Macaca fascicularis: one gene and its partners. The protein of the gene in region 1 purifies or fractionates together with the protein of each later gene. This does not show direct contact. Links are inferred from orthologs where the notes say so. Each region holds a gene or a part of one and is shown in the gene's direction. Other genes may lie near its edges. The genes, in order: GDI2, RAB1B, RAB8B, RAB8A, RAB10, RAB7A and RAB4A.

Region 1 (4,401 bases):
GGCTGCAGTGAGGCATGATTGCACTGCTGCACTCCAGCCTGGACGACAGGGCGAGATCGTCTCAGGGGAAAAAAAAAAAAAAAAGGTATTTCATATTGGTCCAAAAATACAGGTAGTGTATAGTATGACCCCCTGATGACTTGAAGACAGAGCAACAGAAGGACTTTCTTTAGTCATCATTAGCTTAGCCAAAAGAAAAGTCAGTTACACTCACTGTTGCATAATCAGTTGTATGGTCAACTTTGCACTAATTTATTTGGTGACAAATATACACAATCAAATTAAGGTTGAATATAAATTTAAACTTTACTTTTGCTTTCTTCTCCCCTCCCCTTGCAAAAGGTCCATGGTCCAATATAACACATCTTCTCCAAGTATTTACGGGTTAAGAAACATTTTTAAAAGTTGTTACATTCTCTCCTCAATCTTGATGATTTAAATATGAGCAAGTTCGGTCTATCAAGGCAGGCTCATGATAGCTATTACCGAGAAGTATTTGAGTAGTTCTTGAATGCCAAATCTTCATTGTCTGCTGACTATGCAGATTTATCACGTGCTGAAAACACAGGTTTTCCAACTGTCATCGCCTTTAGGAAATTCACCTGCCTAGGCTTTCGTGGGATTTGCCTCTTGGAGCTGAGAACACAGCTTCTGCTTACACCCGTGTCCTCAATGAAGTTAGAGATTCCTAAGAGAATTCTAGAAAAAGAGGAGGGGGTTAGAAGGCAAGCAAGGTAGTTTCTAAGCTTAGGGCCTAAACCTTTGCATCCAAGGATCAGCTACCACGTTTACAGTGGCTTTAAGTTATAGCCCTGGGTAAGTGCGGATCGGCTTCCCAATGAAACCTGGCCTTCACTTTCATCTCCGTTAAGGGTTCCTTTTAGCAAAAGAAGCCGCTTTTCCTCCTACCACTTTCCTAAAGCGCCCACCGGCAACGCACCAAACAGGGAAGGCACAGAGCGGGAAACAGGACACGTGTGATTTCCGAACTCTTCCCGGCGGGCTCCGGGCCCCGGCGAGCCCAGCCCCGCGGGAGGAACCAAGGCCGCTACCCGCGAGAGGCGGCCGGACCCACGTTCCTCGCCCACGTGGCCGCCGCACGCACCCGCTCAAAGTCCAAGGACGGCGGTCCGGCTCTGGGACCTTGGACCGAGCGAGCTCCCGCCCCGACGGCGGGAGTCAGAACCGTGGTGGCCGGCAGTACTCCCCTCCCGCGGTCCCGTGCGCCTCCACCCCGGTCCACGCGCCGCCTCCCAGACCCCGGTGGCAGAAACCGCAAAGGGAACCGGAAGCCAAAATGGCGACGCCCCGCCCTTTTCCTCTCGCGAGAGGCGGGGAAGAAAAAAAGTTGGGCGAGTGACGGGGACAAAACCAATTAGAGTGCCGGAAGCGCCTGATTGGCGGCCCTCCCGGCGCCTGCAGGCCCCGCCCCGGCTGCGGAGGCTCAGTCACCGCCCTCCCCTCCCTGCCCCCTCCCCTTTTCTCCCCGCCCGGTTCTTCGCTTCCCGTCTGAGGTGGCGGCAGGTCTCGCCTTGTCGCCAGCTCCATTTTCCTCTCCTCTCTTCCCGTTTCCTTCGCGCCCGAGAGCGCCTGCCAGCCTCGTAGGGTGGTCACCGAGCCCCTGCGCCTTTTCCTTTCTCTGGTTCTGCGTCCGCGCCTGCCCCGCCATGAATGAGGAGTACGACGTGATCGTGCTGGGCACTGGCCTGACGGTGGGCGCCGGGGCTGAGGGGCCGGGGTTGAGCAGCCGGGGCGGGCGCATCCCCGGCTCCTGCACGGCCCGCGGGTCGCAGCTCCTGGGGGCTTTCGTTCTGCAGTCACCCGTGGTTTTCGGGACGGGAGTCGTGGCTGGGGGCACGGGCGGGTTTGGGGGCGCCCCGCGTCCCGGGACGATCGGGCGACTCCCAGTGTGAGGGGCAGGCGGGGAAATGGAGATGCGGGCCGCGAGGCTCCGGGCGGGGTAACGGCGGAGCCCGGTCGCTGCGCTTCCCCCTTGCGGAAGCGGAGTGGAGGGAGAAGGCGGCCCGGGCCGAGGCTCCCGCTCCCCACTTTGGGCCAGTGACCTCTCCGGGTTGGAAACTAGCACCCGAGGCGGAGGGGACGGTGCAGGCCTCGCGGTTGCATTTCCTATTCCGCCTCGGCCGCTTCCCCGGGTCTGTCTGGCTGCCAAAGCCGAGCACGGGGTTTCCTGACAAGTCTTGGATAATCACTGCTTCGGAACTGCTAGGGCTTGATTAACTTATATTTTTGGAGAAAAGGCAGAAATTAGGCTTTTAATCCTTTCTCCCCCCTGCTAATAAGAAGTATTATTGAATCTTTTTAGCCACCCTCCCTTCCCACTTACCGAGCATCTGTAGAATTGGAATTGAGTTTTTTCAAAACTTGTCTATCAAATGCTTTCGCACCTGACCTTCGCCGCCTTTTCCTTTTGTTTGGTGGGTTCCCTGCCTCCTTTGTCTCTTCTGGACTCTTTTCCCCTAAGAATTGGATTGGTGATGGATTGCTAAAGGCCAAGTTCTCTGTACTCCGCAGCTTTCTTCAGGGAGTTGGAAGATAAATCAGTAACAACATGAAGAATGCATTGTAGTATATATATGAATGCAAGGTGTACCTAATACCATGGTATATTGATTTTCCTGGTTATGTGTCTGCTTAGAGAGCTTTAGGTTAACTGTAGATAATGCAGGCAGGTTCTGTAGTTTGTACTTTTTCTGTTTTTTTTTTTTTTTATGAAGACTTCATCTTGCAAAAGAATTTGGAGAAAACCATTTTAACTATCGATTTTTGGGAACTTTGAAATTCTAACTTTGGGCTGCTTGATCATAATTAAGATGAATACTGATGTAAATCTTGTGTATCCTATGTACTCTGACTTTAAATTCCTGTGTCATTTAATGTAGACTTCCACTTCAAATTTTTTGAAATTTATTATAATCTGTCAGGTTCAAACTAATGTTTTTTTTTTTTTTTTTTTTTTAACAGGTAACATCCCAAAATAACACTTTCAAATGTCTCTAGTCAAGAAAAAACCTTTGAACTTTTATTTGGCTAATTTTTTAAGAAAGGTTTGTTAAGACTTAGAATGGTGTTTTTCTGGCCTGTCATTTTTCTGTTTATAGTTATATGCAATTATTAGAGAATATTCATTCAGAATACTTTGTTATGTTTGACAAATTGAGGAATAATCCTGTCAATGTCTTTGAAAAGCTGGAAGACTGTTGGATGCCTAAATGAATAGGCCCTACCCACTGCAGGTTTTGTGCTTTTTTTTTTAAGTGCCTAATTGGGATTCCAAACTGCGCTTAGTAGTTTGTGGTGGATTTTGCCCGTTGGAATGGGTAGTGCTGCTGCCAGCGTGTTGTTAGAGCCGGTTAGTTCCACCGTTTTTCTATGGTTGTTGCTGGTCTTTCAGATTTGCTCACAATCGAGGTCAGTTGAGCATGGACGAGTGAGTGCAAATCCACCATCATGCAGGCTTCCACAAGCCCCATTCACATCACTTTGTATCAAAGATGGTGAAACAGTCTTTTTATATAACAAGTTAAGATAATGCACTTCGTTTAAATTTTCATTTGGATTGTGAACTTTTTGATAAATGGTAGATGCATACTTAACTAGAAATCAGACCAATTTCTGCTGTCATTTTGTAGCTGTGATAACTTTAATCTCTGTTAGCCTGCCTAAGTTTTCTGAGATGTTCTTTGATAATTATATCAATTCAGAAGAATCACATTATTACCATCCTTGATAGGAGTAGTGATGACAGGATGATTTTGATAATGAGAAATCTTATATCCTTATTTTTAGTGTTACCAGGAATTAGATGACTAAAAATTAGAAGAAGAGAAAACCAAAGTTAGCACTCAGAATTAACTTTTGAGTGTCTGAAGTTAAATTAATTTTCTTGAAATTTACTTTATATTTAGTGCCTGAGATTTAAGAACCTAAAAAAGGCAAGTGCTTTCAGTGCTAGGAACTTGTTACTTTTAAAGAAGTGTAAGGAAGTGCTGGAGTTGCTGTGTTGCTTAGTGCTGCCATTGTTTGTATGAGTTGTTAAGTCCAAGCTCGTAATCACAAATATTGATAGTCATTTTAATCAAGAAGATACAAAATGATTTGGCATAAAGGAGTAAAATCTTCATTCTGTGTGTAAAAGAAATGGAATATTCCACACAATTTAATTTTCTGAGGAATTAAGGGTTATCTCTAAAGAGCACAGCTTTTGGATAATGCCTTTCTAAATGCTGTCACAACTTCTCTAACAAACTAAGAAACATAATTTACTTGATAACTAAGATTTCACATAGTGAAGATTAATTATTGTGTTGTGCTGTAACATGGTGAAGCCATGAAGACCCCGCCAGCTTTGTAGGAACTTTTGCCCCCTTTACTCTCAGGCTG
Region 2 (4,410 bases), on another chromosome or scaffold:
GGCTCCACATTCTCGGGAGTGGCGCCTCCTAAGTGGCTCCCGGGACCTTCTCGCGCTCCTCCTGGCCTCTGAGGGATGCGTCCTACCCCGCCATCGCCCCGTGCCCCAGGACGGGGACCTCCCCTTAGTCAGTCCTCCCACCGCCGGGCCCTGCCCCGCATCCCGGCCTTATGCACTGCCCCTCCCGCCCGGCCCCGCCCAGGCACGGCCCGACCCCGCCCCGGGCACCGCCCACCGAGCCATCCTGCCACGCCTCTCCCCACGCCTGCAGCTTCTCGCGAGGGGCGGCGACGGTCCCTTGGTGGCAGGAGGGGCTCCCCCTGTTGCGGGTGAGGCGGCTGCTCTCTATTTTCAGATGTTGCTGTAGAAATAAAGACGGTTTGAATCTGAGCCGGGCTTGTTTTGAGGCGGAGGTCGGGGTCCCCCCGCGTCTCTAAACGGGTGGAGCCGGGAAGGGTCGCGCGTGAGTGGGGGACAGTGTGTCTCGCTCAACTGCTGTCCGCGCAGCTGGGCCCAGATATTCTGGCCCACCCCGGAACTGGGTGGGGGCCCCACAAGTCAGGCTTTCCCTAAAACGTTCACTTGTGGGGTTCTGGAGACCGCGGGCTCTTACGAGCTCTGCTCTTCACAAAGTTTTTGACTTTGAGTGAGTTTCCCGAGACTCAGTTTTTTCATCTATGAAATGCGGGTGATGACACGCGGCTGCGAGTTAGGAGTGCCCAGTACACGAGGAACCCTGGACAAGTGAACTTTTACTAGTCTTGCTAGATCCCACATTCTCATTTAATGTTCACAACGTGGGTATTGGGAGGGTAAGGATGACTCCGTCAGACAGATGTGAAACGTGCCAAGCCCAGCTCTAAACTGAGCTTTTTAAACACCGAGACGCCGTCAGGCTTTCCAGCATCGTGCTCAAGCCTAGGTGCGTCCGGCGTGCAAACTACAAGCCCCAGAAGGCAATGCGCCAGTAGTGATGGGAGTGGGCGCGGAGGCACGGGCTCCCCGACTACGCCTGCGCAGCGGGGCTGAGTTGGAGAACGTCTCAGACTACAAGTTCCGAGAACCAGCGCGGCGAGGCCTGAGAAGAGGACGTTTGCGCCTGCGCGTCGCGGGCGGGGCCTCTGGGGCGGAGCGGCCACCATCTTGGAACGGGAGGCGGAGCAGAGCCGACTGGGAGCGACCGAGCGGGCCGCCGCCGCCGCCATGAACCCCGAATAGTGAGTGAGCCCCGCCCGCGCCGTCCAGCGCAGCCTCGATCCCGAATACGGGGCTGTACGCTTACCGGGGTTGTCTGGCCCGGGTCAGGACTGTGCGGCGCCCCCACATCCGGGTCCCTCTTCCGCTGACCCCCCCCCCCTCACATCCGGGTTCTGCCCCTCCCCCCAGGGGCCCCAGGACCCCGGCTCAACACCCCGAGCTCTCACACCCGGGGCCCAGACGTGGCGACCCCGAGGGGCAGCTCTTGGAGCCCGAGACACCGGCCCTACCAGGCCTTATCGGTCAGATGACCCCGCAGTCCCGGTCACTTCAGGCCTCAGTTTCCCCACCTGCTGCTTGACAACTGTCCTGGAGTTTGGGAGCCCGTCTTTAGATAGTTTCTGGTCTCGGGTTCAGGCTCGGGCCCTTTAGGTCGGGCAGTGAATCCCTCTACCCTTCTCTTTCTCCTGAAGCCCGGCTCCTGGGGCCGGCCCAGAAACTGGCCAACTAAGCGGGAGGCCCCGAAGCGCCGCTTGAGTCCCATCTCCCGCAGGTCCTCTCTTCCGGGGCTGCCTCCTACCCTTTGCCTGGGTTACGCTGACCTGTCGCTCCCGACGGTCCGTCCTTTCCCGCCCTCTCCTCGCTTTTGCTCAGGCCCCCAACGCCACCGTCGCACCCCTTCCCTTGGCTGTCACACTGCTTGTGAAGTTTAGATGAATATGGAATTTGCTCTCCCCCTTCCAGCGGGATTCTCTGGTCCTCAAACTCTCCTCACTCTTGGTCACTCCCTCTGCGGGTAGGTGGCCCACATCTCATGCCCAGGACTAATAGTTTTCCCCAAGTATCAGTTATCTTCTTCCTCTTCTGCCACTTCCTTTTTCTCCTCCACATCCAGGTCTCAGATTTCCTTGGGGAAGGGTGAAGCTCTGAGCTGGATTGGGAGGGGAACAGAGAAGGGAACCAGCAGGCTCTCGCAGGGACTTTGGAGTCTGACAAACCTGGTTTGAGTCTTAAAGCGAAAAACTGTGTAAGTTAGGGCAAGTCACTTCCCTTCTCTGGCCTCTGGTTTCCTCATTAGTTGACAATGATAAAACTGACTTCATTGGACTGTTGCGAAGATTAAATGAGATGATGCATTTGAAGTACTTCACACAGGGAACTCAACTGTGTGACTTCACACAGTCACAAGTTGGAACTCAATATTATTAAATGTGATTACCTTTTACCTTTTTTTTTTTTTTTTTTTTGAGACAGGGTCTCTCTCTGTCACCCAGGCTGGAGTACAGTGGCACGATCATGGCTCACTGCAGTCTCCAACTCTTGGGCTCAAGCATTCCTCCTGCCTTGTCCTCCTGAGTAGCTGGGAATACAGAGGTACATCACCACATCTGGCACATTTTTAAATTTTTTGTAAAGACAGGGTCTCCATCTGTTTCCCAGCCTGGTCTGAAATTCTTGGGCTCAAATGATCCTTGTGCCTCGGGCTCCCAAAATGTTGGGATTACAGGTGTCAGCCACTGCACCCAGCCTTAAGTGCAATTTTCATTGCAACTTGACCACCTCTTCCTGGTGACTTCATAACAGGTTTTTTGTTGTTGTTTCCAAAGAGATGGGGTGGACTGGGCGCGGTGGCTTACGCCTGTAATCCCAGCACTTTGGGAGGCTGAGGCGGGTGGATAACGAGGTCAGAAGATCGAGACCATCCTGGCCAACATGATGAAACCCCATCTCTACTAAAAATACAAAAATTAGCCAAGTGTCATGGCACGTGCCTGTAATCCCAGCTACTCTGGAGGCTGAGGCGGGAGAATCACTTGAACCCGGGAGTTGGAGGTTGCAGTGAGCCGAGATCGTGCCACTGCACTCCAGCCTGGTGACAGAGTGAGACTCCATTTCAAAAAAAAGAGAGATGGCTGGGCGCGGTGGCTCAAGCCTGTAATCCCAGCACTTTGGGAGGCCGAGGCGGGCGGATCACGAGGTCAGGAGATCGAGACCATCCTGGCTAACACGGTGAAACCCCGTCTCTACTAAAAATACAAAAAACTAGCCGGGCGCGGTGGCGGGCGCCTGTAGTCCCAGCTACTCGGGAGGCTGAGGCAGGAGAATGGCGTAAACCCGGGAGGCGGAGCTTGCAGTGAGCTGAGATCCGGCCACTGCACTCCAGCCTGGGTGACAGAGCAAGACTCCGTCTCAAAAAAAAAAAAAAAAAAAAAAAAAGAGAGACAGGGTCGTGCTACATCACCCAGGCTGGTCATGTACTCCTGGGCTCCAGGGATCCTCCTCCTGCTTCACCCTCCCCAGTAGCTGGGACCACAGGCACACCCCACAGCACCTGGCCATCTGTCTCTTTACATGGGTTTTTCACTTAACAAGTTCTAGACTGTGCCCTGGGTTCTACTTCTGGGGCCTCCCCTGCCAAGCCAGGCATACCACAGGTCATGTACTGGGGATTCCCTAAATAGCCCCTACTGTACCAAACCATGAAGTCTCAGAAATCAGGGTAGGATACCCAGCTCTGTCGCCTTGGCAGGTCACGTCCCTCTCTGTGTCTTGATTTCTTTCTCCATAAAGTGAGAATTTAGACTCAGCAAGCTGAGAGCCCTTTGGGCTAGCTTTTTCTGGAGGGGGGCATCAGCCCTCCCTGACCGGGACTGGTGGGAAGATCTGGTGAGCACCATAGTATTCTAAACCAAAGGATGACCAGGCTCACCCCTGTAATCCCAGCACTTTTAGAGGCCAAGGCAGGTGAATCGATTGAACTCAGGAGTTTGAGACCAGCCTGGGCAACATAGTGAGACCCCGTCTCTACAAAACATAAAAAGAGTAGCCAGGGGCTGGATGTGGTGGCTCACACGTGTAATCCCAGCACTTTGGGAGGCCGAGGCAGGTGGATCACCTGAGGTCAGGAGTTTGAGACGAGCCTGGCCAACATGGTGAAACCCTGTCTCTACTAAAAATACAAAACTTAGCCAGGCATGGTGGCAGGTGCCTGTAATCCCAGCTACTCGGGAGGCCGAGACAGGAGAATTGCTTGAACCTGGCAGGCGGAGGTTGCAGTGAGCCAAGATCACGCCATTGCACTCCAGCCTGGGCAACAAGAGCGAAACTCCGTCTCAGAAAAAAAAAAAAAAAAAAAAGATTAGTTAGAAGTGGTAGTGGACACCTGAAGTCCCAGCTACTCGGGAGGCTGAGGTGGGAAGATCACTTTGAGCC
Region 3 (3,965 bases), on another chromosome or scaffold:
GGGAGACTGTCTCAAAAGAAAAAAGAAAGAAAGAAAGATATATCAGACATGGAGTCTTTAAAAATATGACGAGAATGCCTTTCATTAAACCAGTATAACAAATACATTGGATTTTAAGTGTCTGTGATGTACTTAGATAAATAGTGACAACCTATTTTTTGATCAACATATATAAAAAATAATTTTAAATCAGTGTAGCCTCAATCTTAGTAGAACAGTAGGAAGCAAGATAGTTTCTACTTGGAATAAACAAGTGCACAATGGAAGTGACAAACTCTTACTCCCAGTGTTATCTGTGTTTTGACTGAACACTCAGCCCAGTTGGTGCTGATTGTTTTCATGTTAGGCCAGGTGGAAAGGGTGTCTCACCTTTACCACAATCACCAGTTCATTAAAGGTTAACAGTGAAAATGTTAACAGGGTTTTTATTTACATGGTGAGACCAGTGGAATAATGTATTTATTGATTTTTGTTTCTCTGTACTTTTCAAATTTATTATGAATCCTTTTGTAAAGGGAAAAATGGACAAACAAAAGGTTTCTGGAGGGTAGGAGTACATTGACATTATATACTATAACTTTAAATATATAAAGTACTAAATAAAGGTCTTTTTCCCCATTACAGGGCATTATGCTGGTCTATGACATCACAAATGAAAAATCCTTTGACAATATTAAAAATTGGATCAGAAACATTGAAGAGGTATGTGCGGAAAGAGAATGGTGACATTGGAGAAGAGTCCTGCTGGGTGCTTTTAAAAGGCTCCTCTGTCTCTGCAAGGCAGCTGAGCTGCTTAGAAGCAGGGCATGGGCAGGTTGGGCCTTCTCTCTCTGAAGAGCTCCATAAATCTCTGGTGCTGCCAGTCTGACTACTGGGGCATAGGGGAACAGAGAAATAATGTCACAAGATTTTAAGTTTGGGCCACATATGGGAAATAATTTAATCCTAGATCACATTTTACACATGAATAACAGACCAGAAAGAAATGATTTGCCTGTGCTCATACAGCCTTTAAAAAGAAGAGCCAGGATTAAAACATCTGGTTCCCAACTTCTATCCCACCATGCTGTTTGGCTAGCAACAGTATCTCTTTACCCTGGCAACTTTTTACCCTTCTGACATTTTCTCTATCTTAGATATTTGAAGATTGTTTTAATCCCAGGATAATTGGTATTAAGATTTTTTAATGTCTTTGTCACTTAAGAAAGAAATCTGACTGATACAATTTTGTACACGTTTCTATTAACTTAGATGAATTTCTTTTTAAAATAGTTCAGAATCCAGAATGCCTTCTCCACTGGTTCACTCAGTACCAAGTTTTTGTCCTTCTTTGACCCAAATATTTGGAAATTTTGTCATTAGATCACCGTAAGCTTTATTTGTGTGTGTTCCACCTTCTTTCCAAACCTCAGGAAGAAGGTTTGCACAGGCTCTGTGAGGGCTCTTGTGCTGTAGCTTTGCCCCTCCTCCCATCTTTAAACTTTTCTCTGAATTACGCCTTGTGTGAGTGAAAGATTGTTTGTCTTATTAAATTCATGTGTTTCTGACAAGTTGGATTTGTCTAGTAAGTAATGGGTTTTTCTCAGGCTGTTTTTATAGCATGCTATTTTCTCCCTGCAGCATGCCTCTTCCGATGTTGAAAGAATGATCCTGGGTAACAAATGTGATATGAATGACAAAAGACAAGTGTCAAAAGAAAGAGGGGAGAAGGTAAATGTGAATGGAATGAATAAAGGTTGGATTCTACTCACATTAAGCATTTCTTTTCTTCATATTGTTTAATTATTGATTTAAGTTTTTTTTTTAATCTGTGTTTTAATCCTTTTAAATTGGATATCAACAACAAAGAGATGTAATCCATACTTGAATGGTGTGAATTAGTATTCGAGATCCAGCTCCCTATACTGTGTGGTCATGACTCATTCCTAAAGAATTTGCTAATGTTTTCTGGGAGATACAAATTGGTCCTTTCTCAGATTCCTGCAGCTTAGAGTTCAGGCTGTTTCTTCCAGATCTGTGTGAAAATGCCCAGTTTTGAAGCTAAAGTAATTCATTCTTTTTTTAAAAAAAGTTACAGGGTAGGTGAAGTTTCAACAGGAATCATTTTCCAATTCATTTTTTCCCCTAAGAATATTTTACTATACATTAGCTTTAGGTTTTATGGATAAATTCCTTGTAATTGATCAAGCTATGGATGTCATTTATATGTTGTTTATGGGCATTTCTCTCTTTTGTGTCCTCCTGTAAAGCAAAAGGATATTTTGTGCACATATTTACTTCTGTGGCAGATTCTAAATTGACTTAGAAGCTTCACTTTTTAAGTCTTGGAATTTTGCTTTAGCCTTTAAAAAAATTATATATGCAAATTGAATTTTCTTTTTTCTTTTTTTTTTTTTTTTTTTTTGGTTTTTTTTTTTTGAGACAGAGTCTTGCTCTGTCTCCCAGGCTGGAGTGCAGTGGTGTATTCTCAGTTCACTGCAACCTCTGCCTCCTGGGTTCAAGCAATTCTTATGCCTCAGCCTCCAAGAAGCTGGGATTATAGGCATGTGCCACCACACCCGGCTAGTTTTTGTATTTTTAGTAGAAACGGGGTTTTGCCATGCTGGCCAGGCTCGTCTTGAACTCCCGGCCTCAAGCAGTCCACCTGCCTCGGCCTCCCAAAGTGCTGGGGTTACAGGTGTGAGCCACCATGCCTGGCCACATTTTGTTTTTCAATTTGACTGTGAACTTTTGCTAAAGACTTTTTTCCCCTAAAAACATTTACTTAATTTTAGCATTGTAAATAAACTAAGAACTTTTTGAGGAATATATGAGAGTTCAATTTGTCTTAATAGAAATCAAAGCTTGAATACTTTAGTATTTAAATTTTTGTTCAGTTCTGGACTCATTTATTAAAAGTAATTAAGGCCTGGCACGATGGCTCACACCTGTAATCCCAGCACTTTGAGAGGCCAAGGTGGGCGGATCACGAGGTCAGGAGTTCAAAACCAGCCTGACCAACATGGTGAAACCCTGTCTCTACTAAAAATACAAAAATTAGCTGGGCATGGTGGCACACACCTGTAATCCCCGCTACTCAGGAGGCTGAGGCAGAAGAATCGCTTGAACCCGGGAGGCGGAGGTTGCAGTGAGCTGAGAGAGTGCCACTGCACTCCAGCCTGGGCAACAGAGTGACACTCTGTCTCAAAAAAAAAAAAACAAGGGTAATTAAAAGTCAGTATAAGTTTTTGTTTTTTATTTGAGACGGAGTTTCACTCTTGTCATCCAGGCTGGAATGCAATTGCACGATCTGGGCCCACTACAACCTCCAGCTCCCTGGTTCAAGCGATTCTCTTGTCTCAGCCTCCCAAGTAGCTGGGATTATAGACGCCTGCCGCCACACCTGGCTAATTTTTGTATTTTTAGTAGAGACCGGGTTTCGCCATGTGCCATCCTGGTCTCTACCTCCTGACCTCAGGTGATCCGCCCGCCTCGACCTCCCAAAGTGCTGGGATTACTGGCGCGAGCCACTGCGCCCGGTCAGTATAGTAAAGTTGGAGAATTATACTTTGGGAGCAGATAAAAGGAGTGAATGAATCCCAGGCTAATGGTAGTTTTACCAGTGGAGGATCTTGACTACAAAGTCATCCAGGTTCTTGGCATTTTGAGCAAAGAACTGGACAAAACGCACAAACAAAACAATGAAAGAATGAAGACAAAAAAAGCACAGAATTATCGAAATGAAAGTATACTCCACAGAGTGGGAGTGGGCTTGAGCAAGCAGCTTGAGCACTGGTTACAGAATTTTCTGAGGTTTAAATACCCTCTAGAAATTTCCCATGGGTTACTTCGTTCACACCCTACATAAATGAAGTAGTGGCCCATGACCAGTCTGATTGGTTGCAGAAGGTGACCAATCAGAGGATGAAATGAAGTTACAAAGTTATGCCCTGCGCAGACGTCTGATTGGTTGTGGGAGAGAACCA
Region 4 (4,712 bases), on another chromosome or scaffold:
AGCTCAAACAATCCTCCTGCCTCAGCCTCCCAAAGTGCTGGGATTACAGGCCTGAGCAACCACACCCAGCTGCAAGCCCGATTTTCCTAATGTATCTCTCCTCTTTTTCTTTTCTTTTTCTTTTTCATTTTTTTGAGACGGAGTTTTGTTCTGTTGCCCAGGCTGGAGTGCAGTGGCACGATCTTGGCTCACTGAAAGCTCCGCCTCCCGGGTTCACGCCATTCTCCTGCCTCAGCCTTCCGAGTAGCTGGGACTACAGGTACCCGCCACTACACCCGGCTTTTTTGTATTTTTAGTAGAGATGGGATTTCACCGTTAGCCAGGATGGTCTCGATCTCCTGACCTCGTGATCCGACCGCCTTGGCCTCCCAAAGTGCTGAGATTACAGGCGTGAGCCACCGCGCCCGGCCTTTTTCTTTTTTTGAGAGGCTTCTCGCTCTGTCGTCCATGCTGGAGTGCAGTGGGACGATCACCGCTTACTGCAGCCTCAAACTCCTGGCCTCCCAAAGCACTGGGATCACAGGTGGCAGCCACAGCCCCGGCCTGTTTTTTCAGTGTTGAGAGTCCTGGCCCCTAGATAGGAACAAGCATCCTCACTGTTCTAAAGCATCCTCACTGTTCTAAACCCCCCGGGCTGGCCCGGACAACTCCTAAAGCGGCCGAGGGCGGACCCTGAGGAGGCCGGCGCGCGCTTCGGGGCACAGCTTGTGGCGGTGAAGCCGCTCAGGTGGCGGAGGCCTTGGGTATCTGTAAGCAGGTCGCTAGGCCGCAGACCTCGGAACTCGTCTTGAGTCACTTTTATTTATTTATTTATTTTTGAGATGGAGTCTTGCTCTGTCGCCCAGGCTTGAGTGCAAAGGCGCGATCTCGGCTCACTGCAACCTCCGCCTCCCAGATTCAAGCAATTCTCTGCCTCAGCCTCCCAAGTAGCTGGGATTACAGGCGCCCACCACCACGCCCGGCTAATTTTTGTATTTTTAGTAGAAATGGGGTTTCACCATCTTGGCCAGGCTGGTCTTGAACTCCTGACCTCGTGATCCACGCGCCTAGGCCTCCCAAAGTTCTGGGATTTCAGCCACCGCGCCCGGCCCGGGTCACTTTTCGAGTATACAGTGTCTCCTCTCTCCTTCCTCCGTCGGCCCCCGCTGCCCCGACTCGGAGGCCGCAGATCAGGTTGAGAGCGCTACCATGGTTTCCCGCGCTCGCCTCGGGGCCTATTGCGCCTGCGCGAGTTGTGACGGCGGGACCCAGAGATACCCGCCCCAAGTACAGGATTGCGCCCTCTGCCGTCGCCTAACGGAACTCCGGGCGCGCGTGAGCACGCACCCCAAGCCCCGCCCCCCAGGCTGCCGGCGCGCGAGCCGTTGGCGACGCTCCCTGCGTTCCCTCTCCTGTAGTGGGGCGGGGCCGGGCCGCCCGAGTAGGGGGTGGAAGGCGGGGGCCACATAATGCCACGCCCCCGCCTCGTCCCCATTTGAAGCCCCACGACTCTTCACTGCTGGTCAATCAGAGCCCGTCCTCTCCCTAGTGCCGGCCAATGGGAGGTGCGCTCGGGCTGCTTCCGGCTCCGCGCTCCATTCGCCCCCTCCCCAGGTCTCCCCGCGACTGGCGGGACGCAGGGGCGGGCGTCGGCCGCGGTGACGCGCAGCGGGCCTGGAGCCAATAAGGGGCGGGCTCGGCGCTGATGGACGGTGCTGGTGGCCAGTGGAGAGGCGCTGGCCGCACTTCCCGTCGGGGAGAGAGTGTAATATGGCGAAGACCTACGATTACCTGTTCAAGCTGCTGCTGATCGGGGACTCGGGGGTGGGGAAGACCTGTGTCCTGTTCCGCTTCTCCGAGGACGCCTTCAACTCCACTTTTATCTCCACCATAGGTAGCGGGACCGGGGAGTGGCTGGGGGCGCCAGAGGCCCGGGCTGGGCGCGCCCCTGAGGGGCTGGGGCTGAGGGATCTACCGGGCTGGACTGGCCGAGGGCGCTGAGAGGGTCGAGGGGGCCTAAGGGGAGAAGAGCAGTCGCCTGTACCGCCGTTCGGGGGTTCCTGGGCCGTGGTGGGGGAGACCAGGTGCCCATTTTGCAGATGGGGAGACTGAGGCTCCGACCCTCAGCCCGCTCGTTAGGGAGTGTTATGTCCTGGGCTGGGGTCTTCGCGCCCGTCCTCTCGATCTGTCCTAGCAGCAGCCCTCAAAGCGGTTCTTTTGAGGCTCCTGCCTTACAGAAGTGGAAACTGAGTCATGGGGAATTGGCCATGGGAAAAAGACGGTAACATCTCACCTTAATGAGCATTTACTATGTGCCAAGTGCTTCCCGTGCATTTTCACACTCTCCAGTTCTCGGTGTTAAGTGCTGTTTTGAGCCCGTCTCACAGATGAGGAATTTGAGGCTCAGGGTGGGCCTGGAACTTGCCCAAGGCCACACAGTCTGCAGGTGGTGAGAATGGGATTTGATGGAATTTGAACCTGGCTGTGTCTCAACCCAAAACTCGAGGCTTAGCTATCCTAGAGAGATGCCACCTCACACTCCCAGCTGATGACAAGCTCAGCTAATGCACCTTGGAGCCGGAACTGTAACCCACACCATTCCTGCTCTTTTCTCTGGAGCATTCAGAAGTTGAACCCCTCTCCCTGACCATTCTTCCCCTCATAAGTGTATTTTCCTCTAGAAGGAATGATAAGAGGAGTCAGGACCTTTTCCCTGCCCACATTTCATCCTGCTCCAGGATGACAATAATGACAAGTGACAGCACTGCCTGCCCTGGAACCTGTCATCTGCAAGAAGATGCAAGATAAAAGCCTCAGCGAGCAACTAAATCAGCCACTGCCACAGACAGCCTTGACTTCCCTATCAAAGGGCCCAAGACTCCGGTTGTCACTTTAGAACAGCTTTTCCCGTAGGGCCAGCCCACATTGTGGTTGAACAGAATTGGCTTGGTGCATCTCAGTTGTGCCGTCTGCAGAAGTGGAACTGACCTCTCTCAGTGCCACAAAAGCAGTCCTGGCCCACAATGAAAAGGTTAGACCGGGGAGTAACACCAGTCTGAGTGGCCTGGGAGCTCTGTAGCCCTGCTAGGGATGGGGAAAATGGGGGAACGGTCACTAAGGAGTTTATTCCAAGTCACGAAAACGTAGGGAATGGCCTTTGCTTTACTGTGTCACTTCAACAGAATCATGTTTTCTCCCTGAACCCCACGATAATGTGCTGATTCCATTCTTGCCCCCCTCCAGGAGCTGTGCTTTTTTTATTTTATTTTATTTTATTCTATTTTATTTTATTTTATTTTATTTTATTTTTTGAGATGGAGTCTAGCTGTTTTGCCCAGGCTGGAATCCAGTGGTGCTATCTCGGGTCACTGCAACCTCCGCCTCTCGGGTTTAAGCAATTCTCCTGCCTCAGCCTCTCTAGTAGCTGGGACTATAGGCACCCGCCACCACGTCCAGCTAATTTTTGTATTTTTAGTAAATATGAGTTTCACTATGTTGGTCAGGCTGGTCTCAAACTCATGACCTTGTGATCCACCTACCTTGGCCTCCCGAAGTGCTGGGATTACAAGCATAAGCCACTGCACCCAGGATAGCTGTGCTTTATAAAACAGTTATATGCCTGATGTAAAGTAGAGAGAACTGACTGGAAATCGTTACGTCTGGTTTCCAATTGCTGTTTGCCCTTGAACATACACTGCCCCTCTCTGAGCCCTGCTGTCTTTAGAGCAGGAGTGACGCTGTCTCCTGGGCTAGTGCCCTGGTGGTTGAGGATTAGAATTAGACAATAAGGGGTTATCACCGTAACCAGAGGCCATCTCGAAGAAGCAAATGAATGAATGGCTCCTGCAGTGACAGCATCCAGCCTCTGAAGACAGATGGTTCTGAATTCTTCCCCCTCCCCAACTCCAAGGCCAAACTTTAGGGTAACTCTTGTGCCCCAACCGATCAAGAAGTGGCGTTAATTCAGCCTGGGCAACATAGCAAAACCCCATCTCTATAAAAAATAAAATAAAATTAGCCGGGCATACTGGCTTACCCGTATAGACCCAGCCACTTGGGAGGCCAAGATGGGAGGATTGATTGAGCCCAGGAGGTCAAGGTGCAGTGAGCTGTGATGGCGCCACTGCACTCCAGCCTGGGCAACAGAGCGAGACCCTATCTTAAAAGAAAGAAAGAAAGAAATTATGTTAACTGTGGGCAGACTGTGGCTTGCCTTCACTCAGATCCCAGTTTCCCGGCCTCAGCACCTTCCCCACAAACCCCCCCTCTTTTTTTTTGAGATGGAGTCTCGCTCTGTCACCCAGTCTGGAGTGCAGTGGCATAATCTCGGCTCGCTACAACCTCCGCCTCCCAGGTTCCAGCAATTCTCCTGTTTCAGCCTCCTGAGTACCTGGGATTACAAGTGCCCACCACCATGCCCAGCTAATTTTTGTATTTTTTTTTTTTTTTTAGTAGAGACAGGGTTTCACCACGTTGGCCAGGCTGGTCTCGAACTCCTGACCTCATGATCCGCCCACCTTGGCCTCCCAAAGTGCTGGCATTACAAGCATGAGCCACTGCGCCCAGCCCAGACCCCCCCTCTTTAGAGTTACTTTGAGCTTTAAAGAGGCTGTCTTCCATTTGCAGATGAGGATGTGACTTGGTGAAAGTTACCTAGCAAGGTGAAGGTGGCACCTGACCCCAGGATCCCTCCCTCTCACCCCTTCATTCCCCTCCTTCCATTTGTAGCCTTC
Region 5 (3,965 bases), on another chromosome or scaffold:
ATGATTCTAAATGTAAATGTGACTACACTATGGTATAGTTCTCTAATGTTCTAAAAATCCTAACTGCTTTTGTGTTACATTATGGAACTAAATTATTAAACAAAATGGAAAGAGTTTTTCTGGTGTTTGCTAGTGCTTATTCAATAACCTTGAGTTTTATGTGTCACTTCCTACTGTTTTGCCTTTTAGATTTTCATCCAGTATGAGTAGGTTATTAATTCCCTTCAACTAAAAAGTTTTTATATATACTTAGGAAAAACTATTTTATTCTTGTTTTGTCCTTTATGTGAAACGTAGTAATACCAAAATGCTTAATAGAAATTGTTGGCTGTTTATTTCAGGGATACAGCAGGCCAGGAGCGATTTCACACCATCACAACCTCCTACTACAGAGGCGCAATGGGTATCATGCTAGTATATGACATCACCAATGGTAAAAGTTTTGAAAACATCAGCAAATGGCTTAGAAACATAGATGAGGTAAGACCTAGAAATTGTATAAACCCTTCATGAACACACATTTGTGTGCTTGGTTAAGAAGAATAAATATTCCAATTGATCTTCAAGATACAATGTACTGTTGAAGTAATTATTACTGAAGTATTTCTATTTTCTAAAAGTTAATGTTGGCCGGGCATGGCGGCTTCATGCCTGTAATCCCAGAACTTTGGGAGGCTGAGACGGGAGGATCACCTGAAGTCAGGAGCTCAAGACCAGCCTGGCCAACATGGTAAAACCCTGTCACTACTAAAAATTACAAAAATTAGCTGAGCATGGTGGCGCGTGCCTGTCGTCCCAGCTACTCGAGAAGCCAAGGCAGAAGAACCTCTTGAACCTGGGAGGTAGACGTTACAATGAACCAAGATCGCGCCACTGCACTCCAGCCTGGGCAACAGGCTTTTTTTTGAGACTCTGTCTCAAAAAAAAAAAAAAAAAAAAAGTTAATGTTGTTATTCGCCTACGTTTTTCTTAAGTTTTTGGGCAGTCTATCTAGAGCCTCATTCAAGACAATTAGTAAATGACTCCAAAACTCTATATAGCCATCTTATAAGATGACCCCAAATAGAAGCTACCAGTGGTTTTACAATGACTTTCTGGAAATGAATTTTTTCTTAATAAATTTTTATTGAATGAATGAATGAAATATCTAGTAGTAATTTTTAAAAACTTTATTTTTCATGTTACAGAAATATAATATTGCTTCTAGGCATTTTGAAATATATGGAATGCTAATACAGTAAAAACCTAAGAAAATAGTTCCATTGCATGTGAAAATGTTGTTTTTTTTCTGTATTTTTGTTTTTTGTTTTTTTTTTTGTTTTTTTTTTTTTTTTTTTGAGACAGAGTCTCGCTGTGTCGCCCAGGCTGGAGTGCAATGGCCAGATCTCAGCTCACTGCAAGCTCCACCTCCCGCGTTTATGCCATTCTCCTGCCTCAGCCTCCCAAGTAGCTGGAACTACAGGCTCCTGCCACCACGCCCGGCTAGTTTTTTGTGTATTTTTAGTAGAGACGGGGTTTCACCGTGTTAGCCAGGATGGTCTCGATCTCCTGACCTTGTGATCTGCCCGTCTCGGCTTCCCAAAGTGCTGGGATTATAGGCTTGAGCCACTGCGCCCAGCCTATTTTGGGTTTTTTTGAGATAGAGTCTCACTTCATCACCCAGACTGGAATGCAGTGGCACGATCTTGGCTCTCTGCAATCTCTGCTTTCTGGGTTCAAGTGATTCTTGTGTCTCAGTGTCTTAAGTAGCTAGAATTACAGATATGCACCACCACACCCGGCTGATTTTTGTATTTGTAGTAGAGATGGGGGTCTCGCCATGTTGGCCAGGCTGGTCTTGAACTCCTGGCCTCAAGTGATCTGCCCACCTTGGCCTCCTGAAGTGCTAGGATTGCAGGCGTGAACCACCGCGCCCAGCCTGATGTCACTTTTTATAAGTTAAAGTTACGTATCAAAGCATGTCTATTTCTTTGCTACAGCATAGGTGGCTTCTTGTTAAGAGTTGTTTTTCATGCCTTATTGCTACCTTCTAGGCTTTGAGTTTCATTGAGAGTAACTCTTTGGAGCAAGTTTTGGCCAGATACACAAAGAGCAAGTCTTAAACCAATATTAGACCCAAGATAATACCCCTAAGGGTAGCAATCCTAATGGCTCATAACCACTTTTTTGTTGCTACAATAAACCTTTAGGAGAAGCTTATTATTTTTTAATAATTAAAGATACACAGATCTTGGCCAGGTGTGGTGGCTTACGCCTGTAATCCCAGCACTCTGGGAGACCGAGGCAGGCGGATCACCTGAGGTCAGGAGTTTGAAACCAGTCTGGTCGACATGGTGAAACCCTGTCTCTATGAAAAACCCAAAAAAATTAGCTGGGCATGATGGTGGTCACCTGGAGTCTCAGCAACTTAGCAGGCCAAAGCAGGAGATTCACTTGAACCCAGGAGGCGGAGGAGGCTGCAGTGAGCCAAGATTCCACCACTGCACTCCATCCTGGGCAGCAGAATGCAACTCCGTCTCAAAAAAAAAGAAAAAGAAAATCTTGTTTCTCTGACATATTTAAAGGATTATATAACATGATAAAGAGGAACTTTACCCAGGAATGCCAGGGTCAGAACCTGTCAATGTAATATACCATATTAATAAAGGACAAAACTATACAGTTATCTCAGTTCACACAGAAAAAACATTTGACACAATCCAGCATTCTTTTATGATTAAAACATTCGGCTGGGCGCAGTGGCTCATGCCTGTAAATCCCAGCACTTTGGGAGGCCGAGGTGAGTGGATCACCTGAGGTAAGGAGTTCGAGACCAGCCTGGCCAACATGGTGAAACCTCATCTCTACTAAAAATACGAAAATCAGCCAGGTGTGATGGCAAACGCCTGTAATCCCAGCTACTCAGAAGGCTGAGGCAGGAGAATCACTTGAACCCGGGAGGTGGAGATTGCAGTAAGCCGAGATCGTGCCATTGCGCTTCAGCCTGGGCAACAGAGCAAGACTCTGTCTCAAAAAAAAGTCAACAAACTAGGAATAGCAAAGAACTTCCTTAATCCTGTAAGTGACATCTATAAAAATACCACAGCTATTATACCTGTCCCTTAAGATCAAGAACATGGCAAGAATATCTGCTCTGGCCACTTCTGTTCAACATTATGCTGAGATTCCAGCCAGAGCTTAAAAAAGAAAAAAGAAAAGAGCCATCCAGAGTGAAACAACTATTTATAAATGGTAAAATATTTTATATAGAAAATCCTTAAAAACCCACAAACATATACCCAGAAAACTCTTAGAACTAATAAGTGAGTTCAGCAAGGTTACAAAGAAATGAGATCAAGATACAAAAATCAGCTTTATTTCTGTACACTAGCAATAACCTAAAAATTACATTGAGAATAAAATTCCATTTGTAATAATATCAAAAGGGAAAAATTACTTAGGAGTAAATTTAACCAAAAGAGTGTAAGACTTGTACACAGAAAACCACAAAATATTGTTGAAAGAAATTAAAGATCTAAACAATTAGGTAGCCTGTATTTGTGAATTGGAAGACAATATTAAGATGGCATTACTACCCAAAGTGATCTACAGATTCAGTGCAATCCCTATCAAAATCCCAATTGCTTTTTTTTAAATTCCCCCTGTGGAAATTGACAAATTGACCCTAAAACTAATATAGACAGGCAAGGGACCCAGAGTAGCCAAAACAATCTTGAAAAGGAAGTACAAAGTTGTAAGACTTACACTTTCTGGTTTTAAAACTTAACCACTAAGCCACAGTAATCAAGACATTGTGATACTGACATAAGGATAGTCATAAAGATTAATTGAATAGTATTGAGAGTCTAAAAATAAACTCTTGTATATATGGTCAGTTGACTTTTAACAAGATGCCTGGACAATTCAATGGGCAAAAGAATAGTCTTTCCAACAAATGGTGCTGGGAAAACTGGCTATCCTTGTGT
Region 6 (4,391 bases), on another chromosome or scaffold:
TTTCACTGAAAAAGTCACTTTAAAGTCAAGACCAGAGGAAAGTGAGCGAGTGGCCAAGCAGATACCTGGAGGAAGAGCTTTCCAGGTAGAGAGAAGTACAACTGCAAAAGTCTGATGTAGATGTGTGCCTTCTCCTTTCTTTTTTATTTATCTTGGAAGAGACAGTCTTGTTATGTTGCCCAAGCTGGTCTCGAACTCCTGGGCACATGCAAAGTGAAAGCAGAGAAAAGTAGACTTACCCCAGAAGCTGATGGTCCTGCAGTGTGCAAGGCCATTTCAGAATACACATAGAGAAAACAGGAGAATAGGTAGCGAGGGTTTTGCGGAAAGAGCCAATTTTAGCTGAAAAAGTAGGGGAAACCCCAGACATTGTGCCATCTCAGGGTTAGGACTGCTTGCCTAGATTTTGAGGTTTTTTTTTTTTTTTTTTTTTTCCCCAGACCCCTCAACTTCTGAGATCTCAATGGGAAGCTGCTGATCACCAGTTTTAGGTGTTTTTATCTATTGGGAGACTCTTTCCCTGGTTCTGACTGCAACCAATTATTATTTTAGAGAGATAGCTTAATCTGACCACCACGTCATGGTTGCCTCACATTGCTGGTGGGGGAGTGGCCCCACTCCTGCCCTGCTCAGGTCTAACTACTTACTTACTGTAACAATTGCAAGGTTTTTGGATGGAACAATTGAAAGAATGGAGTTTGCATGAACCAAATAAGAAAAGACTATTAGAGGGCATTGTTAAAGATGGAGACAAAAGTTCTGAGTGGATCCTGATGTGTTCAGATGGGGCTGGTGCTTGGGAGGCTGCTCTGTGCTTACAAGAAGAGTTCTACCAGGTCCATCTTTATCACATCTTCTTTAATACTAAGTTCAGAGAGGCTTTAGCTCATTTTCCATTTTCTCGTGCTGTCTCCTCTGCCAAAGTGTCTATTTCTCCTGTCTCTATTACTGAGTCACACAATTGCTGTAGTCATTTGCAGTCTACTAGAACGATAACACACATTGGCATCAGACAGACCTTGGTTCAAAACCCGGCTCCACCAGTTTCTGTGTTGAGCTAGACCAAGTGACCTGATATGTTCGGTCTCAGTTCCTTATTTGTAAAATGGTGATAATAATTTTTGGTTAGGTAGTTAAAGTAAGGATAAATGATGCCTTCCGAAGAAGGACACAATTGGAATGGCCAGTTTACCCCTTGACCTCTCTTCGGTGGCATTCTTTATTCTGGAGCAAGGAGGGATGGCTGAGGGAATCTGTCTGTGGGTCCAACATGGCGCCGTCCTGCTCCTTGTACAAGCCTCAAAGATGGGGACAACCGTTTGGGAGCAGACATGTTTGTAGCACGTGATCCAGGCTCTGTCCCAAGGCAGCCGGAACGTGACTCAAGGTTGAGGCGGGGCTCCTCCTCCGCACCCCGGCGTCGAGCGTCTCGTGACAGGTACTTCCGCTCGGGGCGGCGGCGGTGGCGGAAGTGGGAGCGGGCCTGGAGTCTTGGCCATAAAGCCTGAGGCGGCGGCAGCGGCGGAGTTGGCGGCTTGGAGAGCTCAGCAGAGTTCCCTGGAACCAGAACTTGGACCTCCCCTCTTCTGTCCTCCGTTGAGTCTCCTCCTCGGCGGGAGCCCTCGCGACGCGCCCGGCCCAGAGCCCCCAGCGCAGAGGCCGCGGTAAGCAGCGGGCCCAGCCCGGCCGGCGGCCTGGCCCCATCCCCCTCCTCAACTCCTCGGTCGCCAGGGCCTCGCGTCCTCCCTGTCCTCCTGGCAGGCTCCAGGCCCAGCCCTGGCCTCGCGGGCAAACTCGGCATCGCTCAGGCCCACGAAGCAGGCCAGGACCCCACCCGGGTTGGAGAGGTCGGAGGTCGTCGGGCGTGACCTCTGGCCGGGTTGCCGGCCCCGGCCGCCGGTCTCGGACGCTCTGTTTACTGTTGGCGTCGATCTCAGAGACCCAAGAGGGTTCATTGACTTGGACTGCCCTGCGCCGCGGCAGGACGCGCTAGGCGGTGGAGTTATTTAGCGTGGCGAGCAGGAGGGTGTCAGAGCCCACGCCGCCCGCCGCCGTGCCCACCTGGCGGGCATGGGTCACAGGCGCTGGGGGCCGAGCCGCGTTCCCATCCGGCTCTTCAGTTGAACAGCCTGACCCTGTTAGTGGGAGAGGTTCCCTGACGGCAACTGAGTCAAGGCGTGAGTCAGGTCACGTGCGCTGGGATCGCCTCAACACTTGTGTACATTGAGGCGCCTCTGGCGCTGGAAGACAGGGAGCTTTTTGTCCTAGGCATGTTACGGTAAATCCTGAGAGAAGTTTTTCAACTTAGTCGGGGAAAGATGGTAGTTGGATGTAGAGTTGTGTTTCCATTCGGACCGTGTTGGGGGCCTCTTTCTGCATTCATTTTACGCTTGATACCTAATGGGTCATAAGGGGAATATTGAGAATACTGACAGCAAATATTTGAGCGTTTGTTATATGCTAGGCAGCGTGGCAAGACCTTTTAACAGATCATTATGTTTAGTTCTTTGAACAACCCTCTAAAGTACCACTGTTGTGCCCACTTAACACAGTGGGAAATTGAACAGAGAGGCTAAACCATTTGACCAAGGTCACACAGCTAAGTTACGAAGCAAAGATGCAAGCCCAGGCAGTCAGACTCCAGAGCACTTTATTCAATTTGTAGGTTATACTGCTTTCACGTGCCCCTGAAGCGTGTGGTTTATCTTTTGCCACCTGGTATCTGTACCTCACTGCCTTCCACCACCTCCTTTCTTTCTGTTGATGTCGTTTGAAAGTCTTTCTGGTAGCATCAGTTCTCTCTTAAAGCCATAAGAAATGCCGTTTGCGGCTTATCACACATATTGTAGTGTAGTTGAATTAGGAGCTCTTGAATACTGGCGGGGTACTTAACTGAGGTTTGAAAAATTTTGCAGGTAGGCCTGGCAAAGCTGCCTAGCGAACCTTTCTTACAACCTTAGTTGATGGCTGTCCAGCCAGTTGGTTCTTCCCTATTCAAAATACTGCATCTTTGGTTTCCTAAAGAACAGGCTCTTGTCTCTTTCTTGTGACTTAAGCAGCTGATGAGGCACATGATTTCTCATCCATGGATTAATAAAGTCTCCTCTTAGTGTGTTTCTTTCTTCAAACCTGGGAAGGTTTGTTCAGATTTGGATTTAAGAACTGGAAGGTGAGTTAGGAGTGCTTCTCCTGAAGGGACTGGCTAAGTTAAAGCTTAGCGTTCACAATCCTGTTGTATTCAAATTTGTCTTTTTTATTTTTTTTTTAACTTTGCTACCCAGCCTAAAATATTTAAGTGAGTAATAAGTACTGTAGCTTTATATAATGTTTGAGTTTAGAGGAGAGTAATGATAGGCACCTTTTTATTCATTCATGAAGTATTTTGAGTATCCATTGAGTATCAGCAATGTATCAGGCGTTGTGGGATGTTGACTTAGGGAGATAGGCATGGTTCCTGTCCTCAGGGAATTTTTAAAAGGTGAATGATCTTGGCCAGAAATTCTATTGTGGAATGATTTGGTGGTAGAACTTGAGGCTTTTTGGAAAGAGTTATTTCTCATTTCTGCTGATGAATCCGTAGTAATCCAAAGGATGGTGTTCTGGCTAACTTTAAGGCTTTGTTAATTTTAACAACAGCATTTGTATGCTCTTCAGAGAGTGTAGAAGATAATATTACAGTTTCTAATTTATCACATCTTTTAAAGAGTAACCTTCAACACTCAACTTGTTTCTCCTTTTGCTCTGGTGGCATTTGTTTTATTTTATTTATTTTTTGACACGGAGTTTCTCTCTTGTTGCCCAGGCTGGAGTGCAATAGCGCGATCTCAGCTCACTGCAACCTCTGCCTCCCAGGTTCAAGCCATTCTCCTGCCTCAGCCTCCCGAGTGGCTGGGATTACAGGCATGTGCCACCATGCCCGGCTAATTTTGTATTTTTAATAGAGACAGGGTTTCTCCATGTTGGTCAGGCTGGTCTCGAACTCCCTACCTCAGGTGATCTGCCTGCCTTGGCCTCCCAAAGTACTGGGATTACAGGCATGAGCCACTGCGTCCGGCCGACTCTAGTGGCATTTTTTTGGTTCACTCGAGAGGTAGTCCATGTCACTACCATTACCTTGCACTGCAGTGTCTTTGAGCAAAGGTACATTTGGACATTTGGCATACTGGATTTTTTTCTTCAGCTGGCAAGAAAGTTTAATGTAGCACTGATATTGTGTCGGCCATAGTTTCAGTACCATTCTACATAGAAAAGCTGTGCTACCCTATCTCCCACAAACTTTCTAGGTTCCCTTCAAGAGAAGATTTGGATTTTGCATTTGTGGTAGAACTGCATGAGTAAACAGAGGGTGGAATGTAGAAGATACTCTAAAAATAGTTTTATTAGTATATCCT
Region 7 (4,469 bases), on another chromosome or scaffold:
TATTAGGATGGGAGAGAAGAGAAAAATACCGACCCAAATAGCCCCTGGGGAAGAGGGAAGCTCTGATGCCAATGTGGAGGATGGAGCCAAATTGACTCAGGAAAAAAAAAAAAAAACTTTGTACTGGCATTTTCCACACAGTCCAGGTCACTTGGGAGCTTAGCCAGGGATATTTTGAGCATTCGACAACCTATTGTGAACAAGGTTGGGAACTATGAGGCGCTATGTGGCCCTGATCAAGCTCAGATGGGCCAAATCCTCAACCAAAATTCTCTTTTCCATAAATGTTTATCTCTACATTTCCCACAGAAGGGGATTCTAACTCAGTTTTGCTTCTGAAACCAAACTATCCAAGGCCAGGTGAGATGATTCACGCCTGTAATCCCAGCAACTTGGGAGGCCAAGGAGGGAGGATGCTTGAACTCAGGAGTTCAAGACCAGCCTGGGCAACATAACGAGACCCCATCTGTACAAAAAATTTAAAAATTGGCGTGGTGTGGTGCTGTGTGCCCCTAGCCTCAGCTACTCAGGAGGCTGAGGTGGGAGAATCGACAGGGCTGCGCTGACAAGAGCCAGACCCTGTTAAAAAATAAAAACAAAAAAACTCCTAAATTTGGAAACACATCCCCAGCTGGGGGCCAGGAGATAGTTCTCAGCCGTAATCCAGAACCCTCTAAAATGGGATGTGGAGAGGCTGCTGTCTGTAGTCTTGCGATGACCCTTCAGCATCTGGGCATCTTGAGCTTCTGTCATTCTGCCCACACCTGCTCAGCTCCATTCAAGAGGGCCGGGCAGTTTGGAGTGAAAGCTTAGCTTCCCAACGGGTAAATGAACCCGCCTCCCATTCACAGGGCGGCCTCTGGCTGGACACCTGGGGCCTACTGCCCCCTTGTTACACATTAACCAAGTTCTGGCCTCGATCGTAACTGCGTCAGGGAAGTTTCTTCCTGGCTGACAGCCTCAGATGATGACCGAAGACAACGTCTTTAACTGAGACGGGCCAGTGTGGCAAATGGACTGCTTTCCTCCCCAGTGCAGGCACCTTCCTCCTCTGTTCGGTAACTGGACCCCACTGTCCCCAGCCCTCTGTCACCCCCAAACCTGCCCACCGCCTGCCTCTACCCGGCCTTCCCTGAGGGAAATCGGGACTCAGCCCGCAACGCCCCCACCCGCCGCTCGCCCAGCCTCGGCGCACACAGCCAGGGGACCCAGCCCGCGCACGTGCTTCCGGCGCGCGCCGAAGTCCCCATGCGCCCCGCCCCCCGCCTCCCCGTGCGCACGCGCGAACGCGGCGTGGGCCGGGCCTCGGGTAGCCCATCTCCTCTTCCTCCTCGCGGTCGCGGCCGGACGGAGGGTGGAGGTCCCTGCGCCTGCGCGGAGCTGGAGTCCGGCTGGGCCGCAGCCGCTGGGAGGCCGGCGGTTGCCGTGGGGACCGGTCGGGCCCCTCCCTCCTCCGGTCTCCCGCCCCAGGTTCTTCCCCAGCGAGACGCGCCAGCGGACCGCGGGCGAGTGCAGCCGGTGACCCGGCGAGAGGCGGCGCCGCTCCCAAGATGTCGCAGACGGCCATGTCCGAAACCTACGGTACGAGGCCCGGGCTGGCTGGGCGCGCGGATCGGGCCGCGGGGGGCGTCGCCGGCGCGGGGCCGGGCTTGGGCTGCGGGGGTCTTGAGGGTGGCGGTGGCGCCGGCCGGAGCCGTGGGACGGGTCTCGGAGGTGTCTGGGCCTAGGACCGAGATGGGGGACGCGGGCCGCGGAGAGCTCGGGTGGGGTAGCGGGTGCGCCGGGCGCGGGCGGGGCTGTGCACAGCGCATTGGAGTGATCCGCCTTTTCAAGTTTCCTCTTGCTCTTTCTCTGCGCCTGCACTGTTAGCGCTTTTCCCCTCTCAGTCTAATGTAAATAACTGAAGGTTTGGAAAGCCAGCTTGATGTTCCGTTTCAGCTGCTATATTATCCCCAGCGAGCCGTGTGAAGGGCTTAGGGCGACGCCTGTGTTCCTCAAATACTTCAGTTTGACCTTTCCTGGTTTGGAATTCCTTGCTTTACATTGGGATTACAGTGAGGAGTTACTGATAGACTAATTCATCTCTTCCTCCGGAGACCTCTTCGTTTATTTCTCCCTCCCTCTCAGTGTTTTTTAGTCTTTTCTGAGTTGCATTTTGGCTATATATAAGCCTTGTATCCTTAAGACAGTAAGCACCTTGGAAGCAAAGCCTTGGCTGTTTAATCTTTGTTTCCCCTGCAGCACCCAGACCTGGAGGTGCTCGACAAATACTGTTTTGAATAAGCGAAAGCTTTCCCAGTGCATATACTTTGTGGTTTTTTTTTTTTTTTTTTTTTTCTCCCCTTTTTTGGCCTTGCGTGGTAAGAATAAACAACTTGTACTTTCTATCAGAGTTGAATATTAATAGATGTTTACCAGTCCCTAATCAGTCTTTCAGATGTGTGTATTCTCAGATTAAGACTTTGATTTGGAGTTTTACAGTCCCAGAGAGAGGCTCAAGTTCAAAATTACATACCTCAAGCCAAATTAGTCCTGTCTCCATCTGTCCTGGCGTGCTGCCTCCTTCTCGGCAACAAATACTGTGGAATGGCATCAGGGAAGCGGGCACCGTGCTGGGAGGGCTGTAAGTCCTGCAGAAAGACAGCAGACATGGCTCTAGTCTCATGGAGCGTACCGTCTATTGAGGGAATGCAGTATTCATCCAATTGTGATACTAATGAGTGAATAATTAAAAACCAGCCAAGAGTTCTTAAGGAGTGTGGTCCGTGAAAGTGTGTTAGAAAGAAAGGTGACCCAGACAGGGGGTGTCGGGGAGGCATTAGCCAGGCAACACACAGAACATCTCAGGCCTGTGGGAAGGGCAACTCAAGAAGGGTGTGTTGTGAGCACCACGCTGGAGAGATGGATGAGGAGACAGAGAGGAGAGGGCCTTGAGGAAGGCGTGAGTCTGTCTTGTAAGAAAAAATGGGAACTTTTGGAAGGGCTTCCGTGCTGGGGTCACAGTGCCTTTGGTCCACCTTCAGTGAGTGACTCCTGTGACTGGTACTGCCCTGTTCTTGGTGACACAGGGGCATGACATCTGTTCCTAGAAGGCTTAGGAAATCCTCCAGTAAGTCGATGCCTTCATCAGGACAAGTGTTTGCAAATGCTTCTGCAAATGGCAGTGGTCTGGTTCTTCCTGTAGAGAACCACAGTCAGAAATGTAAGGAAAACATGCTCTTTAGCAATTTTTGGTTGCATCTTTGCACTTCTTTATTTTCAAGTGCTCTTTAGCCCACGCTGAGTTTCTTTAACCTGAGTAAGGAGCACAGAGCACAAGGGAAGGGTGGAATGTCCAAAGAAGAAAAGCAAGTGGGGGTCATGAATCAGTAAGAAAGGACCTTTTATGTTTCATTTTTCGTTTACACAATGATAACAACTGATAAAATAGAGCATATCTTTGGCATCTCCACTTCAGACACAGTTAACTGAACTTTTGAGCTTCACAGATTGATTGCATTCTGATCATAAGGCTTTAACCATTAGTATTCTTATTTCATGATAACTTCCAAGTATGTTTTTACTTTGCAATTCTGAATTGAATATTTTCTTCTAATAGAGGAAATTAATCAAAAACTAGTAGAAACTAATAAATAGAAAATGAGGCCAGACGTGATGGCTCACGCCTGTAATCCCAGCACTTTGGAAGGCCGAGGGGGCAGATCACTTGAGCTCAGGAGTTCGATACCAGCCTGGCCAACATGGCGAAACCCCAACCCTATTAAAAATACGAAAAATTACCTGGGCATGGTGGTACACTTGTAGTCCCAGCTACTTGGGAGGCTTAGGCATGAGATTGCTTGAACCCAGGAGGCAAAGGTGCAGTGAGACAAGATTGCGCCACTGCACTCCAACCTGGATGACAGAGTGAGACTCTCAAAAAAAGAAAATGGGCTTTAGAAAGAGCAAGCAGGACAGTTGAAGTTTGCCAAGCTGAAGTAAAAGTCACCTAGAACCAAGTCCTAGGCTGTCACTTGGACATATCAGTGGCCATATTTATATGGCATTGTTCCTTAAAAGTGAAACAGTCAGGCTCCCTTCTGGATATTTGCCTCTGAGCTGGTGAAGGAATGTTTGCCTAACCTTTAAACTCCTTTGTACTCTGTGCTCATTTGCTCTTCTGTAAAAGGAGGCTCTGTGTAGCTTGACAGAGGGATGAGGAAAAATCAAGGGCCAGTGCATGAAATGTACTGGGTTTTTGTTTTTTGGTTTTTTTTTTTTCAATCTTTTTTTTTTTTTTGGAGACAGGTCCTCACTCTGTCACCCAGACTGGAGTGCAGTGACACAATCATGGCTCACTGCAGCCTCCACCTCCCTAGCTCAAGTAATCCTCCCACTTCAGCCTCCTGAGCAGCTGGGACCACAGGTGCATGCCACCACACCTGGCTAATTTTTTTTTTTTTTTTTTTAATTTTCTTTGTCAAGACGAG

The links.
Region 2: the proteins of GDI2 (region 1) and RAB1B purify together in Homo sapiens (affinity purification with mass spectrometry; 3 studies listed by BioGRID and IntAct, counting the BioPlex papers as one, with this or other methods). This does not show direct contact. The link is inferred for Macaca fascicularis from reciprocal best matches to the Homo sapiens genes GDI2 and RAB1B.
Region 3: the proteins of GDI2 (region 1) and RAB8B purify together in Homo sapiens (affinity purification with mass spectrometry; 3 studies listed by BioGRID and IntAct, with this or other methods). This does not show direct contact. The link is inferred for Macaca fascicularis from reciprocal best matches to the Homo sapiens genes GDI2 and RAB8B.
Region 4: the proteins of GDI2 (region 1) and RAB8A purify together in Homo sapiens (co-immunoprecipitation; 5 studies listed by BioGRID and IntAct, with this or other methods). This does not show direct contact. The link is inferred for Macaca fascicularis from reciprocal best matches to the Homo sapiens genes GDI2 and RAB8A.
Region 5: the proteins of GDI2 (region 1) and RAB10 purify together in Homo sapiens (co-immunoprecipitation; 3 studies listed by BioGRID and IntAct, with this or other methods). This does not show direct contact. The link is inferred for Macaca fascicularis from reciprocal best matches to the Homo sapiens genes GDI2 and RAB10.
Region 6: the proteins of GDI2 (region 1) and RAB7A purify together in Homo sapiens (affinity purification with mass spectrometry; 3 studies listed by BioGRID and IntAct, with this or other methods). This does not show direct contact. The link is inferred for Macaca fascicularis from reciprocal best matches to the Homo sapiens genes GDI2 and RAB7A.
Region 7: the proteins of GDI2 (region 1) and RAB4A purify together in Homo sapiens (co-immunoprecipitation; 3 studies listed by BioGRID and IntAct, with this or other methods). This does not show direct contact. The link is inferred for Macaca fascicularis from reciprocal best matches to the Homo sapiens genes GDI2 and RAB4A.

Annotation. Positions count from the first base shown.
Region 1 is NC_088383.1:6,738,590-6,742,990, reverse strand, and holds the start of GDI2 (rab GDP dissociation inhibitor beta), read left to right. Parts: upstream 1-1,474; 5' UTR 1,475-1,667; coding exon 1,668-1,712; intron 1,713-4,401. UniProt on the Homo sapiens protein: GDP-dissociation inhibitor preventing the GDP to GTP exchange of most Rab proteins. By keeping these small GTPases in their inactive GDP-bound form regulates intracellular membrane trafficking.
Region 2 is NC_088388.1:8,121,284-8,125,693, reverse strand, and holds the start of RAB1B (ras-related protein Rab-1B), read left to right. Parts: upstream 1-1,145; 5' UTR 1,146-1,203; coding exon of another isoform or gene 1,204-1,217; 5' UTR 1,218-1,910; coding exon 1,911-1,993; intron 1,994-4,410. UniProt on the Homo sapiens protein: The small GTPases Rab are key regulators of intracellular membrane trafficking, from the formation of transport vesicles to their fusion with membranes.
Region 3 is NC_088381.1:39,765,548-39,769,512, forward strand, and holds part of RAB8B (ras-related protein Rab-8B), read left to right. Parts: intron 1-624; coding exon 625-702; intron 703-1,620; coding exon 1,621-1,710; intron 1,711-3,965. UniProt on the Homo sapiens protein: The small GTPases Rab are key regulators of intracellular membrane trafficking, from the formation of transport vesicles to their fusion with membranes.
Region 4 is NC_088393.1:16,426,040-16,430,751, forward strand, and holds the start of RAB8A (ras-related protein Rab-8A), read left to right. Parts: upstream 1-1,730; 5' UTR 1,731-1,749; coding exon 1,750-1,873; intron 1,874-4,712. UniProt on the Homo sapiens protein: The small GTPases Rab are key regulators of intracellular membrane trafficking, from the formation of transport vesicles to their fusion with membranes.
Region 5 is NC_088387.1:96,120,142-96,124,106, reverse strand, and holds part of RAB10 (ras-related protein Rab-10), read left to right. Parts: intron 1-341; coding exon 342-480; intron 481-3,965. UniProt on the Homo sapiens protein: The small GTPases Rab are key regulators of intracellular membrane trafficking, from the formation of transport vesicles to their fusion with membranes.
Region 6 is NC_088376.1:154,694,785-154,699,175, reverse strand, and holds the start of RAB7A (ras-related protein Rab-7a), read left to right. Parts: upstream 1-1,461; 5' UTR 1,462-1,664; intron 1,665-4,391.
Region 7 is NC_088375.1:19,835,473-19,839,941, reverse strand, and holds the start of RAB4A (ras-related protein Rab-4A), read left to right. Parts: upstream 1-1,321; 5' UTR 1,322-1,550; coding exon 1,551-1,581; intron 1,582-4,469. UniProt on the Homo sapiens protein: The small GTPases Rab are key regulators of intracellular membrane trafficking, from the formation of transport vesicles to their fusion with membranes.